Linked DNA regions of Canis lupus familiaris. The protein of the gene in region 1 purifies or fractionates together with the protein of each later gene. This does not show direct contact. Links are inferred from orthologs where the notes say so. Each region holds a gene or a part of one and is shown on either strand. Other genes may lie near its edges. The genes, in order: SBF1, MTMR2 and MTMR1.

Evidence for each region.
Region 2: the proteins of SBF1 (region 1) and MTMR2 purify together in Homo sapiens (affinity purification with mass spectrometry; 6 studies listed by BioGRID and IntAct, with this or other methods). This does not show direct contact. The link is inferred for Canis lupus familiaris from reciprocal best matches to the Homo sapiens genes SBF1 and MTMR2.
Region 3: the proteins of SBF1 (region 1) and MTMR1 purify together in Homo sapiens (affinity purification with mass spectrometry; 4 studies listed by BioGRID and IntAct, with this or other methods). This does not show direct contact. The link is inferred for Canis lupus familiaris from reciprocal best matches to the Homo sapiens genes SBF1 and MTMR1.

The regions. Positions count from the first base shown.
Region 1 is NC_049231.1:17,727,040-17,731,167, reverse strand, and holds the start of SBF1 (myotubularin-related protein 5), read right to left. Parts: upstream 2,876-4,128; 5' UTR 2,740-2,875; coding exon 2,685-2,739; intron 1-2,684. UniProt on the Homo sapiens protein: Acts as an adapter for the phosphatase MTMR2 to regulate MTMR2 catalytic activity and subcellular location. Promotes the exchange of GDP to GTP, converting inactive GDP-bound Rab proteins into their active GTP-bound form.
Region 2 is NC_049242.1:5,272,290-5,276,402, reverse strand, and holds the start of MTMR2 (myotubularin-related protein 2), read right to left. Parts: upstream 2,882-4,113; 5' UTR 2,715-2,881; coding exon 2,635-2,714; intron 1-2,634. UniProt on the Homo sapiens protein: Lipid phosphatase that specifically dephosphorylates the D-3 position of phosphatidylinositol 3-phosphate and phosphatidylinositol 3,5-bisphosphate, generating phosphatidylinositol and phosphatidylinositol 5-phosphate.
Region 3 is NC_049260.1:120,303,592-120,306,458, reverse strand, and holds the end of MTMR1 (myotubularin-related protein 1), read right to left. Parts: intron 1,378-2,867; coding exon 1,216-1,377; 3' UTR 511-1,215; downstream 1-510. UniProt on the Homo sapiens protein: Lipid phosphatase that specifically dephosphorylates the D-3 position of phosphatidylinositol 3-phosphate, generating phosphatidylinositol. Could also dephosphorylate phosphatidylinositol 3,5-bisphosphate to produce phosphatidylinositol 5-phosphate.

The DNA.
Region 1 (4,128 bases):
GGGATCCAGCCTCTCCTGCCTGGTAGATGTGCACTCAGCCACCTGGTCAAGAGTGTCTCCTGTCCTCAAAGACACACCCCAGCACTGGCCATGCTATGTACATCAGCTGACCATGGTCAGGCCCCCCCAGCCCAGAAGCTGGGCAAGGGTGATCTGTCTGGCCCCCACAGTGTCCCCAGAGCTGGCCCAGGGTGCAGAAGGTGCTAACTCATGTCCTTAGTGAAGGAGCTCCCCCAACTCACCAGGGGAGAGGTCTGCACTGAAAGTTGGGGTCCCATCCCCCCCTCCCTGTGCTCCTGCCTGGAGAGGTTCACCAGATGGTAACTATAAAACCAGATGCTCCCTCAGGCAGGGCTCCTATACCCAGGCCCTGCACCCACCAGCTCCAGACAGGATGTCTAAGTCCAGGCCAAGAACAAGACATCCCCCACTCCTACCCCCTCCACTGAACCCAGAAGACCCCGCATCCCTGTCCTGACGTCCTAGGCCTGCCAGCACACAGGGTCCCCCACCTCCAGCAGCCCTGCCGACTGTGCCAGTGCCTATAGTGTCCTCACACCTGCTGCTCATCACTAAGAGATCCATCATTTCCTGGAGCCTCCTGTGTGAACAGCTTCACATGCGTGTCCACCTCCTGCTCGTGGCAGCCTGGGAGGTCTGTGTGACTCATTCCAACTCCAGATGAAAAAGCTGAGGTGCAGAGAGCTGGAAGACTGGCCCAAGGTCAAGAGCTATCAAGTGGCAAAGCAGGTACCACTGGCTTCCCCCACGTAGTGTTTCTCTGCTTCAGGCTTCCTGCCACCACCTGGCTCTGCCCCCGGCCCTATGGCTAGGGTCCTAGCCTGTGGGCTTCCTTCTTACGGGATGGAGGAGTCCTCCCAACACAGGCCCAGAGGCTGGGTGGCCAGTCGGCAAGTAACCAGCTCCAGCCCTGGAAGGCAGCAGTTAGGGCAGGCTCCATGGCCTTCACCCCTACTAGGTGACAGTCTGGGACTCCTTCTTGATGCTAAGGAAGGCAGCCTTCTCCCCTGTCTGTACCAGAAGCCACAAATACCAGGGGTGCCCACCCTGAGTGTCACAGCCAGCTTGCCACGGAGCCCACCCACGCCGCATCTCACCTCCCTAATTCACTCTCAATCCCCTACTCCTGCTGCTACCACCCGGCCTCTGCCTGTGGTCTCTGCCTTCCCAGACCCTTCCCACACCACTCCTGCATCATCAGCCTCCAAGCCCACTCTGTTCACGCAGCTCCAAACAGGGCCCCTCACACTGGGCGGCCCCTGGGCCAGCCTGGTTTCCCTGGATCCCATGCAACCCTCTGCTCCAGGCGGCATGGCCTCCTCGCTGCCCCCCACATGCACCGTGGGACAAACGGTTCTTCCTCTGTGGGCCTGTACAACAACACCGAGTGTGAGCCTGCCACGTGCAGACTGGGAGGCAAAGATGACTGGCTCTTGCTGCAAAACCTCCCCGTCTGGAGGAAGACACGCTCATGACTGAGGGTGTCAGGGGACGGACCCTTGGACAGACAGGAGCAGAAGAGAGGAGTGAGTCCTACGAGGGCACGCAGGAGGGTCTGGAGTGTGCAGGATCCGGCAGGTAGAGTCTCAGCAAGAAAGGCAAAGAGGAGAGAGAGTCTGGGTCCTGGGTGATGAGTGTGCCAACCGGGCTGACCACACAGGCTCCCCTGAGGGCATGCGCTGCCCCCCTGCCACTGGGATCTGAGCCCACAGCTTGCTGCTGGGTTTGTCTCTGTGGTAGCTCAGGCCAGGCAATCAAGCTCTGTGCTCGACTCCACTTTACCGACGAGGGAGAGAGCAAGGAAACCGTGGTGGGCTGCTGGAGGAAGAAATGAGATCATGCACACAAAGGGCTGTGCAGGGCCTGGCACACGGAGTGCACTCCCCAACCCACCGTCTCCATGACTGCTGCTGATGTCATGGTCAGGCTGTTTGCTCCTACCCCCGGGCTCAAGGGCCCTCAGACACAGGCGCTGACGCGAGAGATGGACCTCCTGGACATCGACTTGACGCAGCGGTCCCCCACCTAGGGCTTGGCCTGCAGGCATGAGGACCGCCGGCGGCCTGCCAGGAACGCTGGTCCCTCTCCTCCCACTTCCTCCTGTCTCGGCTCAAACATCACCTCTAACCGCCCATCTTCTGCATCCCTAAGCCTCCTGGCCTGAGACACCCCACACGGGCCAGGGGCACCGGGGATCAGAGGAGGGCTTGCGAGCCAAGGATCCGTGTCCGGAAGGGCAGCTGGCGGCGGAGCAGAGGGCCCATCCCTCCCCGAGCGAGCCCGAGGCCGAGCCCTCCCGGACCCTCCCGCCCCCCGCCGGGCCCCGCCAATGCTCGGCCAGACCCCGTTCGGGCCCCAGGGTGGCGGGCAGGTCGGGCTCGCCGGGTCGCGCTGCCCCGCTGTCCTCAGAGGTACCCCCCGGCCCCGGGTCTCCGACCCCGACCGCGACCCCCGACCCCTAACCCCGGCCGCGACCCCGGCCCCCGACCCCTGACCCCGACCGCGACCCCGGCCCCGACTGGTGCCCCGGACGACCCTCGCGCCAGCCCAGCGGCCGCGGCCCGCCCGCCCCGCGTGTCCCCGCGCACGCCCGCCGCCCCGGCTGACCCCTGCCCGCCCTGGGGCCCCGGCCCTCCGCCCTCAGCCGCGGGCCCGGCACTCACCGCGCGGGTGCGGCCCGAACGCCACCAGCACGAAGTAGTCCGCGAGCCGCGCCATGGCGAGATGCGCGGGCGGGCTCCGCGGCTCGGGGACGCGAGGGCGGCGCGCTCATGGCCCGGCCCCGGCCCTGGCCCGCGCTCCCCGGACACCCCGGGCCCGCTCCGCCGCGGCGGCCAGAGCTCCCGCCGCCATCTTCCCAGCCAGCCGGCCCGCCCGGCTGCGCCGTGCGCCTGCGCGGCCTCTCCCCGCCCCCGCCATGGGCGGGTCCCGCAGCTACCCGCTCCCATTGGTCCGCTCGGCGCGGGCTCGGTGCCCGGGGGCGGGGCTACGCCCGGCCCCGCCCCCCCGGGCGCTGACAGTGACGGCGGCTCGCGCGGGTCATCGGCTGGCGTGGCGCGGGTGAGAGCGGGCCCGGGGCTCGGCGCTCGGAAGCCCCATCGGGTGGGGTGAAGCCTCAAGCGCACGCCCTCCGCGGAAAGCGGGGGCAAGGCGGGGGCACCGGGCGCGGGATGGAGGAGACGCCCACGCCCCGGGCGCTCGAGCCCCCGCAGCCGGCCGCGGAGCGAATAGCGGGCGGGGGGAGCGGGAGCCGCCGGCCCGGGAGCGCACGGGGTCACACGGGGTCACACCCGAGGCCCCCGAGCTGTGGCGCCCGGGACCGGGGCCAGAGGACACCCCACCCAGCGGGGGTCGGGGAGGCAGCGAGGGCGCTGGGAACTACGCCGGGAGCCCCGGGTCCGGGCACCTCCCTGGGGCTCATTTACCTCCGCTTGCCCAGGTTACAAACTCGCAGAGACAAGGCACTTTGATTTGATTTTTCTTTATTGGAGGGTTGGGTGGTACCATCACCCTTGAGTTTGGGAAAGAGGGCACTGGCGACAGTGTTGAGGCAGGTTGGGGGGAGGGTCCGGCTGCCCCGGGCATCTACCCACCCCTCCCTCGCTGTCCCTCCAGAGCTGGCCTGCGGCCTCCGTCCTCTCCGCAGTGTCTGGTGGCGTCTGTGACGCTCCCACCGTGTCCAGGTCGGCCCTCTCCAGCCCCAGGCCCACGAGACTACAGGGCAGCCTGATACCTCTGCCAGGAAGACCGCAGGCGCCCAAACCCACCCTCGCTAGGGGCTCCCGCATCGGCCACCAGGAGAGCTGACCTCGTCGCCCGCCCCCAGGGTCACTCAGGCTCTGTCCCCCCAGGCCGCCCCTCCTGCCCCGTGGCACCTTTCTACCGTGAATGTCACGGCTTCGCGCTCCCTCCTCCCCAAGCTGGAAAAAATAAATCAATGACTAGAACCCGGGAGGGCTGCTGCTGCCTCACTGCCCACCTCCGGACATGAACCAGGCTACTCCACGGGCCGGCGCTCAACACTTGTCGACTTACTCACCCCGTGAGTGTTTGTTGAGCTCCCATGGTGTGTGCAGCCGGAGGAACAGAGAGCGGGCAGGTCCCCCG
Region 2 (4,113 bases), on another chromosome or scaffold:
AATAGGAAGCATTTTTTTTTGCATGAACAATTTTTCTTGAAGCTAAACTCAACAGAAACTTATATCAATCTAGTCTGTAAAAGACATATGGAATACACTGAACATATTAGCTATTGTTGTATCGGAACAAATTCACGTGGCAATTTCCTAATTGAAAATTTGACACTGAAAATTTCCTAGTTGTAAAAAAACAGAAGGCATAAAAATAAACTACAATTTAAAGGCAATGTTTCTGCAGAAGGCTGAGACAATACAGTCCAAATATTGATATTTTGCTTTATTATAGGCTATCACAGTAAAATCATAAACAGCTGGATAGCCAGGTAGCATAGCTATTATAATCATGGTTTTCTGCCTTCTCACTTACAATTTATTGTTTGCCTAGATTAAGTTTAAATTTAAGCTAACAAGTGTCTACAATGCAACTATTTTACACTGTTGATCAAACATGTGTAATGATTCTTAAAAGACATGAAAAAATTTAGCAGGGTGAATTCTACATAGTAGACATTCAACAAATGTTATTTTTTTCTGCCTTCCAGAGGAAAGGAATGAAAGCTGGCATTCTCCTACGGAAAGTAGATCATACTTATATTTTTGTCCAGAGAGGAAGAGGCTAAATATTCTAGTCAAAACTATCTCAAGGAGTTAATTTTCTTAAATTCATGTCAGTAACATAATTTTTAATTAAGAATTAAAATATATAAACTTTAAAGTTACTGGGCTTTCTTTGGGGAGGGAATAAATATGCTTAAGTGGCACAATTAGGTACGTTAATTTGTAATAACAGAGTTATTTAGTATAATTTAAAAACTCCATAAAGGGAATATCTTAGTAATTGATGAGAATGTATCTTAATCATTACTGTCATTAAGATAAAGAATGACAGAATTTTAGAGCGCCAAGGGGCGTTGCAGGTTCTCTAGATCAATTTCTTTATTTTGAAAGATGTGAAAATTGCAGACTGGAAAAGTTAAATGATACAGGCCAAAAAACTAGCAGAGCCAGGGACTTTTAAGAGTCTGAACCTCCTAACTTCCAATACATTCTTCATCCTAACAGACTCTGCTGCCTCCTGCGGTTCCACTTCCTCTTGCTTGGGTGAGATTACTGGTTGCCTCATTTGTTTTCTTTACATTCTATTCTGAATCATAGCTGCCATTTGTAACTTTCCTATACAATTCTAATTTTACAACCTGTGTTCTGCATAATTTTAAGCTAAAAATGTAACTTAAATTTCCTAAATTTCAGAGTAATAAAATTTTTAAAATACTTGAAACAGATGTACAATATATGTGATCGAATGCAAAGAAAAATCCTTCTCTCCTGGGTAATTAAATGTATAGATTCAAAAAAAAATTTTGTTGAGAACCTCTGACATGAAAGGTGTCTCTGTTAAATGCTGGAGATAAGATAGTAAGATGTGGTCCAGTAGATTACAGTCTCGCAGAAAATAATTAATCCACGATTACACTGTTTGTTGAGAACTCTGAAAATGGTGGGAGCAGGTTCCCAGGAGTGCATTAGGAAGAGAATCTAATTTATAATGAAGGAAACAGCTAATATTTTCACAATAAGGTCTGAACAGTAATAGGAAAACAGCTGTGTCACTCATATTTAGTAGAGTGCAAAATGAACTAAAAGTTAGAAACTTCTATTTATTCTGAGGAAAATGAAATTTGTGTTTTCACACAGATTAGTATCTAATAACTCTAATAATAATTAGACTATTTTTTGGTAGAAAAGAAGCTTATTTTATTGTGGCTACATAACAAACACAGGTCATCTATTATTTTTTCCTTAGATTTTAATTCACTATTTTAAAACCAAAGGGAAAACATTCTCTGAAATATGTCTAGTTTATACTCACAACAGCTATCTACAAAATTGCATACTAAAGTCCTCCTCAAAATTCCAGGAAAAAAAAAAAAATCCCATCTGGTCACAAGAGAAATAACCAGGAAAACCGGTAGCCCCAGAAGGAAGAAAGCTAACACTCATTATTCAGTCAGGGTTAAGGACTGCTCAGATTCCTAATGATTTTCAGCTGCAAGATTTTGAAAGGCGATGTACAGTGGGCATTTTTATTTACATTTTTAAAGCAAAATGGGGAGAGGGGGAGGAGTATATGGAAAATCATGAGAAATAAAGTGATGGGAAAAAAAAAAAAAAAAACGTGAGCAAGAATCCCAAAATCGAAGACATATGAATAGATGGAAGCAAGCCTGGAGAACGGTTTGGAAAAGCGTATAGTAAAGAAAGGCAGGGAGGAAAGGAGGGGTGGTGGTTGGGGGAAGGGCTGTCCAAAAAAATAATTCGAGAGGGAATGAGAAACAAGAGATACTAATGAACTGGGGCTGCCTCCACCCGGGATTTAAAAAAGATGGTTACAAGAAAGGTAGAGGCGCCGGTGAAGCAGCAATGAGTGTTCACCTTCCCTTCTCCCCAGCCTGCAAACCCCAGAGGGGGAGGAAGAAGTGGCTCCCAGGTCCCAGGAGAGGAATTTCGGCGCAGCCATCAGGAAGCAGAGTCGGGAGCTGGGGCCCCCCCGCGGGTCCAGGCCCCTCTCCATCCCTCTCGGGCTCCGGGCGCTGGGCGCTGGGCGCTGGGCGGGGCCCGGGGCATCCCGGTTACCTGGACAGAGAGTCCACGCTGGGCGGCCGTGCTGCGGCCGGCTGGGAGCCAAGACTCTCGCAGCTCGAGCTCTTCTCCATGGCGCGGCGGGGACAGCGGGACGCAAAGGCTGAAGCGACCTCCGCGGCAGCGGAGCGGGAGGAGCGGAGGGCGGAGTGCGCCGGGCAGGGGCCGCGGTCAGGCCAGCGCCGGCCCGGGAGGGAGACCGGAAGCGGCCATGTTCCCCCAGCCTGCACCGCGCCGGGGGCCGCCGAGGAGCGCGAGGAGCGCGAGGACCCCGGGGCTGCCGCCGACTGCGGCCGACGCCCTGCGCTCGCTGCGTGCGCTCCTGCGCCCCCGCGCTGCCCCGAGGGTCGGGGGACCCCTGGGAGGAGGAGGATGGCAGGAGGCAAAGAGAGGACTAAGTGCATACCAGGGGCAGGGGTCCTGGGGCTGCGGGTACCTGGGCCCGGGATGCCGGGAAACACGCGGCAGTGACCCGGCGCGGGCGGCGGGGGCCGTGGGGGGGGGGGGGGCGACCCCGGAGGACGGCGGCCCCGGGGGGTGCGGGGGCGGGGCGGGGGCGGCAGGAGAGGGCGCGCAGGGCCACGTGAGGGGGTGAGCTACTGGAGATGGCCAAGGTCGCCAGGTTTGGGGCTGGAAATAATCATTATTAATTAAATAGTGGTTAAAAGTTCCTTTAGCCGGTCAGACATGATTTCAGAACCCCCCTGTGCCCGTCACTGGCGGCGTAACCCAAGGCATTGAACACCCTCTTTCTTATCTGTTAAATAGGAAAATCATATCTTCCCAGATTAGGTGAGTGAATACATGTAAGATGCTTAAAACACTATTTGTCCCCAAAGTTCACAGCAGCAATGTCCACAATAGCCAAACTGAGGAAGGAGCCACGATGTCCGTCGACGGACGCATGGATAAAGAGGATGCGGTCCATGTGTACGTGGAATACTGCTCAGCCCTCAGGAGGGAGGACACCCGCCATCTGCTTCGGCGCGGATGCACCTGGAGGGTATTATGCTGAGTGAAGTAAGTCAGTCGGAGGAGGACAATCAGTGTACGGTTTCACTCATGGGGGAATATAACAAATAGTGAGAGGGATTACAAGGGAAAGGAGGGGAACCGAGTGGGAAAAATCAGAGAGGGGGACAAACCACGAGAGACTCCTGACTCGCAAACAGTTGCAGAAGAGGAGGTGGAGGAATGGGGGGACTGAGGCGCGCCCTTGACGGGACGAGCACGGGGTGTTACACTGTATGTCGGCAAATTGAATTTAAATAAAATGTTGGAAAAACAGTTATCGGCACATAGTAAGCACTCAGATATTAGCTGTTAGTAGTCCTCCCTACTTTGTGAGGGTTGTTAGGATGTGCTGCATTAAGGTGTATAAACAGTAATACAGCTTCAAAAATGGCGGCTGTGGGACAGGAACCTGAGAAGTGGCTGGCATGACAAAGGTAGTGGAGAAAGTATAGGACGGGT
Region 3 (2,867 bases), on another chromosome or scaffold:
CCCGGGGCCGAGTGGGAGGCGGCGGGCGTGGGGTCACCTGCGTGGGGTGGCGCTTCGGCGCCCTGCCGGCCGCTAGTGCAGCAGCACGAGCCCTCCCGCCCAGAGCCGCCCTGGGACTCCCCGGTATCCGCATGGGCAGCCGGGTGCCCGGAGGGGACAGGGGCGCGAGACCCGCGGGGGCTCCCCCAGAGGCCAGCATGCGAGCCGTGGACTCGGGGTGGGGGCCCCGGGGCTTGTCAGCGGTCTGCCCCCTTTGCAGCTCGGGGTCCCGGGGTCCCCGGGCCCGATCGCCCAGCCCTCCCCCACCAGCTTCGGGCAGACGGGCGATCCACGGCTACACGCGCCACATCCCCTTTGGGGCCGAGACGCGCGTGTGGGGTTCAGCGAAGGACTCGAGTCCTACCTCACACGCGTCACCTGGGCGTGGCACGGGAGACCACAGGTGTGGAAGGTGCTGTCATTTTTCCGAGGGAGGAATTGGGAAAACATTAAAAAAAAAAGTAGACGACCCCAGAGCAAACATATTATTTTAATTACAGATGGAAATACAGTGTATCAGATGAGGCGACTACGCGACTGTACCAGTCTTTACACACCTGCACCAGGGGCTTAGGTTCCATACGCTTTAAATAAACAGAAAGCAAGGGGGGTGCTCGGCTAACGGCACGAGGCTTCTAGCTGGGCCGGGTGGGGGCACCCGGGGGAAGGGGGCTCGCACGCGGACGGCCCAACAGACAGCCCGCACGAGGCGATGCGGCCCCGGGAGGAGGACCGCCACCGCCGCTGCCGGCGGGAGGACACCGTGCCAGGTCACTGGCCCTGTTCCTGTCGCGGGCAGACCACGTAAGTCGGCGCGAGCTGGGGGTGGAAAGAACCCGTCACCCGGTCCGGTTACGCACACACCTCCTCGGGTGACTAGTTTCCAACATAAAAAAGGACATAGGAAAATAAAGGCATGTTTCTCTTTTTAAAAAATACCTTCTATGTACATGACAGTAACTGGCGCAGGAGGGCCCCGGGCGGGAAGAGGACGGGACACTCGGGGGCCGTGGCGGGGCCAGGGCGGTGAGTGGGCACGACGGACACGGCCGACGAAACGGAAAGCGCTTGATGACGGCGGGAGCGGTCACCTTGCCACGCAGGCGGTCGCTGGTGGGCAGGATCACCCGGCCCGCGGCCTGCCCGAGGCCCCTCGGGGAGTGGCCCCAGAGCGCGTCACACGGACGTGTGGACGGGGGTGACCGGGTGGGACGGCGAGGAGCCCCGCTCGGAGGACGACGAGGCGCGTGTGGCCACCTCCCGCTGCAAGTCCTCCACCCGCTTCTGCAGCTCCGCCTTCACGGCCAGCAGCTCCTTGAGGTTCTGGTGAATGGGCATCTGGGGAGAGAGGGACACGGTGAGGTCCCCTGCAGCTCTGCCGACTGGCAGCACCGACACTGTTCCCACCCATCGCGAGAGGTGCAGGCGGCCACCCCGGTGATGACCCTGCTGGAGGAGGGCGCCTGGGGGGCCGAGCCCACCCCCCCCCCCGCAAGGCCTCCCCGGGAGCCTGAGGCCCGGAGGGGGCTGCCGTGGGCGTACGGGACTCCCGGCCTGAGGCTGGGTCACAGCATCACCCGTTCTCCCCCGGCCGGCCCAGGCAGCCAGCAGCCAGCTTGTCCCCCACGAGGCTCTCGGACCAGGGTGAGGTGCACCGGGGACGGGGGTCACCACCTGGGAGGCGCTCCTGGCCTTGTGTCCCTGATGCAGTGTGTGCACGGCAGCCGCAGGCCCGGGTCCTGAGCCTCAGCCAGGCTCCCTGGTGCCCAGCCAACAGCCTCCAGGGGCTGCTTTCTGCCGCCCCGACCTTGCCCTCAAAACCCTGGGCTCTGACCCCAGCCTGCCGCTCCTCACCGCTCCTCACCGCTCCCCCAGGGTCCTGCCTCTGCTCCCCTCCTGCATTCCAGAATCTTCTAGGTTTTGAGCCGTTCCATGCATGTGCAGCCCCCTGCCCCCGGGCTCTCCCATCAGGGCTGATCACCCCAGTCCAGGGAGGAGGGAGACGGGTAGGGAGGAGGCAGGCAGATGAAAGCGCAGGGTGCCAGGTCACTAGCGAGGAACCAAGTCCTGACATCAGGCCACAGCAAGAAGGGAAGGGACAACACTGAGGCTGAAGGGAAGGGACAACACTGAGGCTGATGCCAAAGACCCCCCCCAAACAAGGGGACGTTCCCTTATTTGCTGCTGATCCCCAAGGCCACCGCGAAGTAAGCAGTAGCTCCCCTCCTGGCCTTGCGGCCAATTTGGTGTTAATTCTCCTGTTGGGATCGTTTGGTTCCGAGGGAATCACACAAGGGAAACTTCTGGAGTCAGGTCCCGGACACGGGAAGTCCATGGAGGGAGCGCCCAGTGTCACACCCAGGACCTGAGGTGACCCTCAGGGATCTCCGAGCAGCCTTGCCTCAGGTCACTTCCAGTAAATCCAAGGCCCGCTCGGTAGAGAAGTGCCCAGTAGGGAGCCTCCCCCTGTGGGCGGTGGGTCTGCCCCGAGCCAAGAGGGCCCCGAAGGAAACGACGCAGCTCGGTCCCCCCTTCCACCCGGCCAACCCTCTGACGGAGGCCCAGGGAGGCGTGGTGCAGGCAGCCCACAAGCGCCCTCCTCGGACAGAAGGGGCCAAGCAGGCTGGTCCCCTGCCTTTCCTCCCTGTCCCGCCGGCCTGGCTCCCCATCCTGTCGCAGTGACGCCGGCCTAGGTGCCCACTCTGTGCCACCCCCCCACCCCCGTCTTTGAACATACTGCTGCTAATGAGCTGGCCCTGTGCACCGTGTGCCTGCCCAGCCTGCCCCCCACCGGCCTGCGGAGCCCCCAAGGCCCAGCCTGCTCCCCC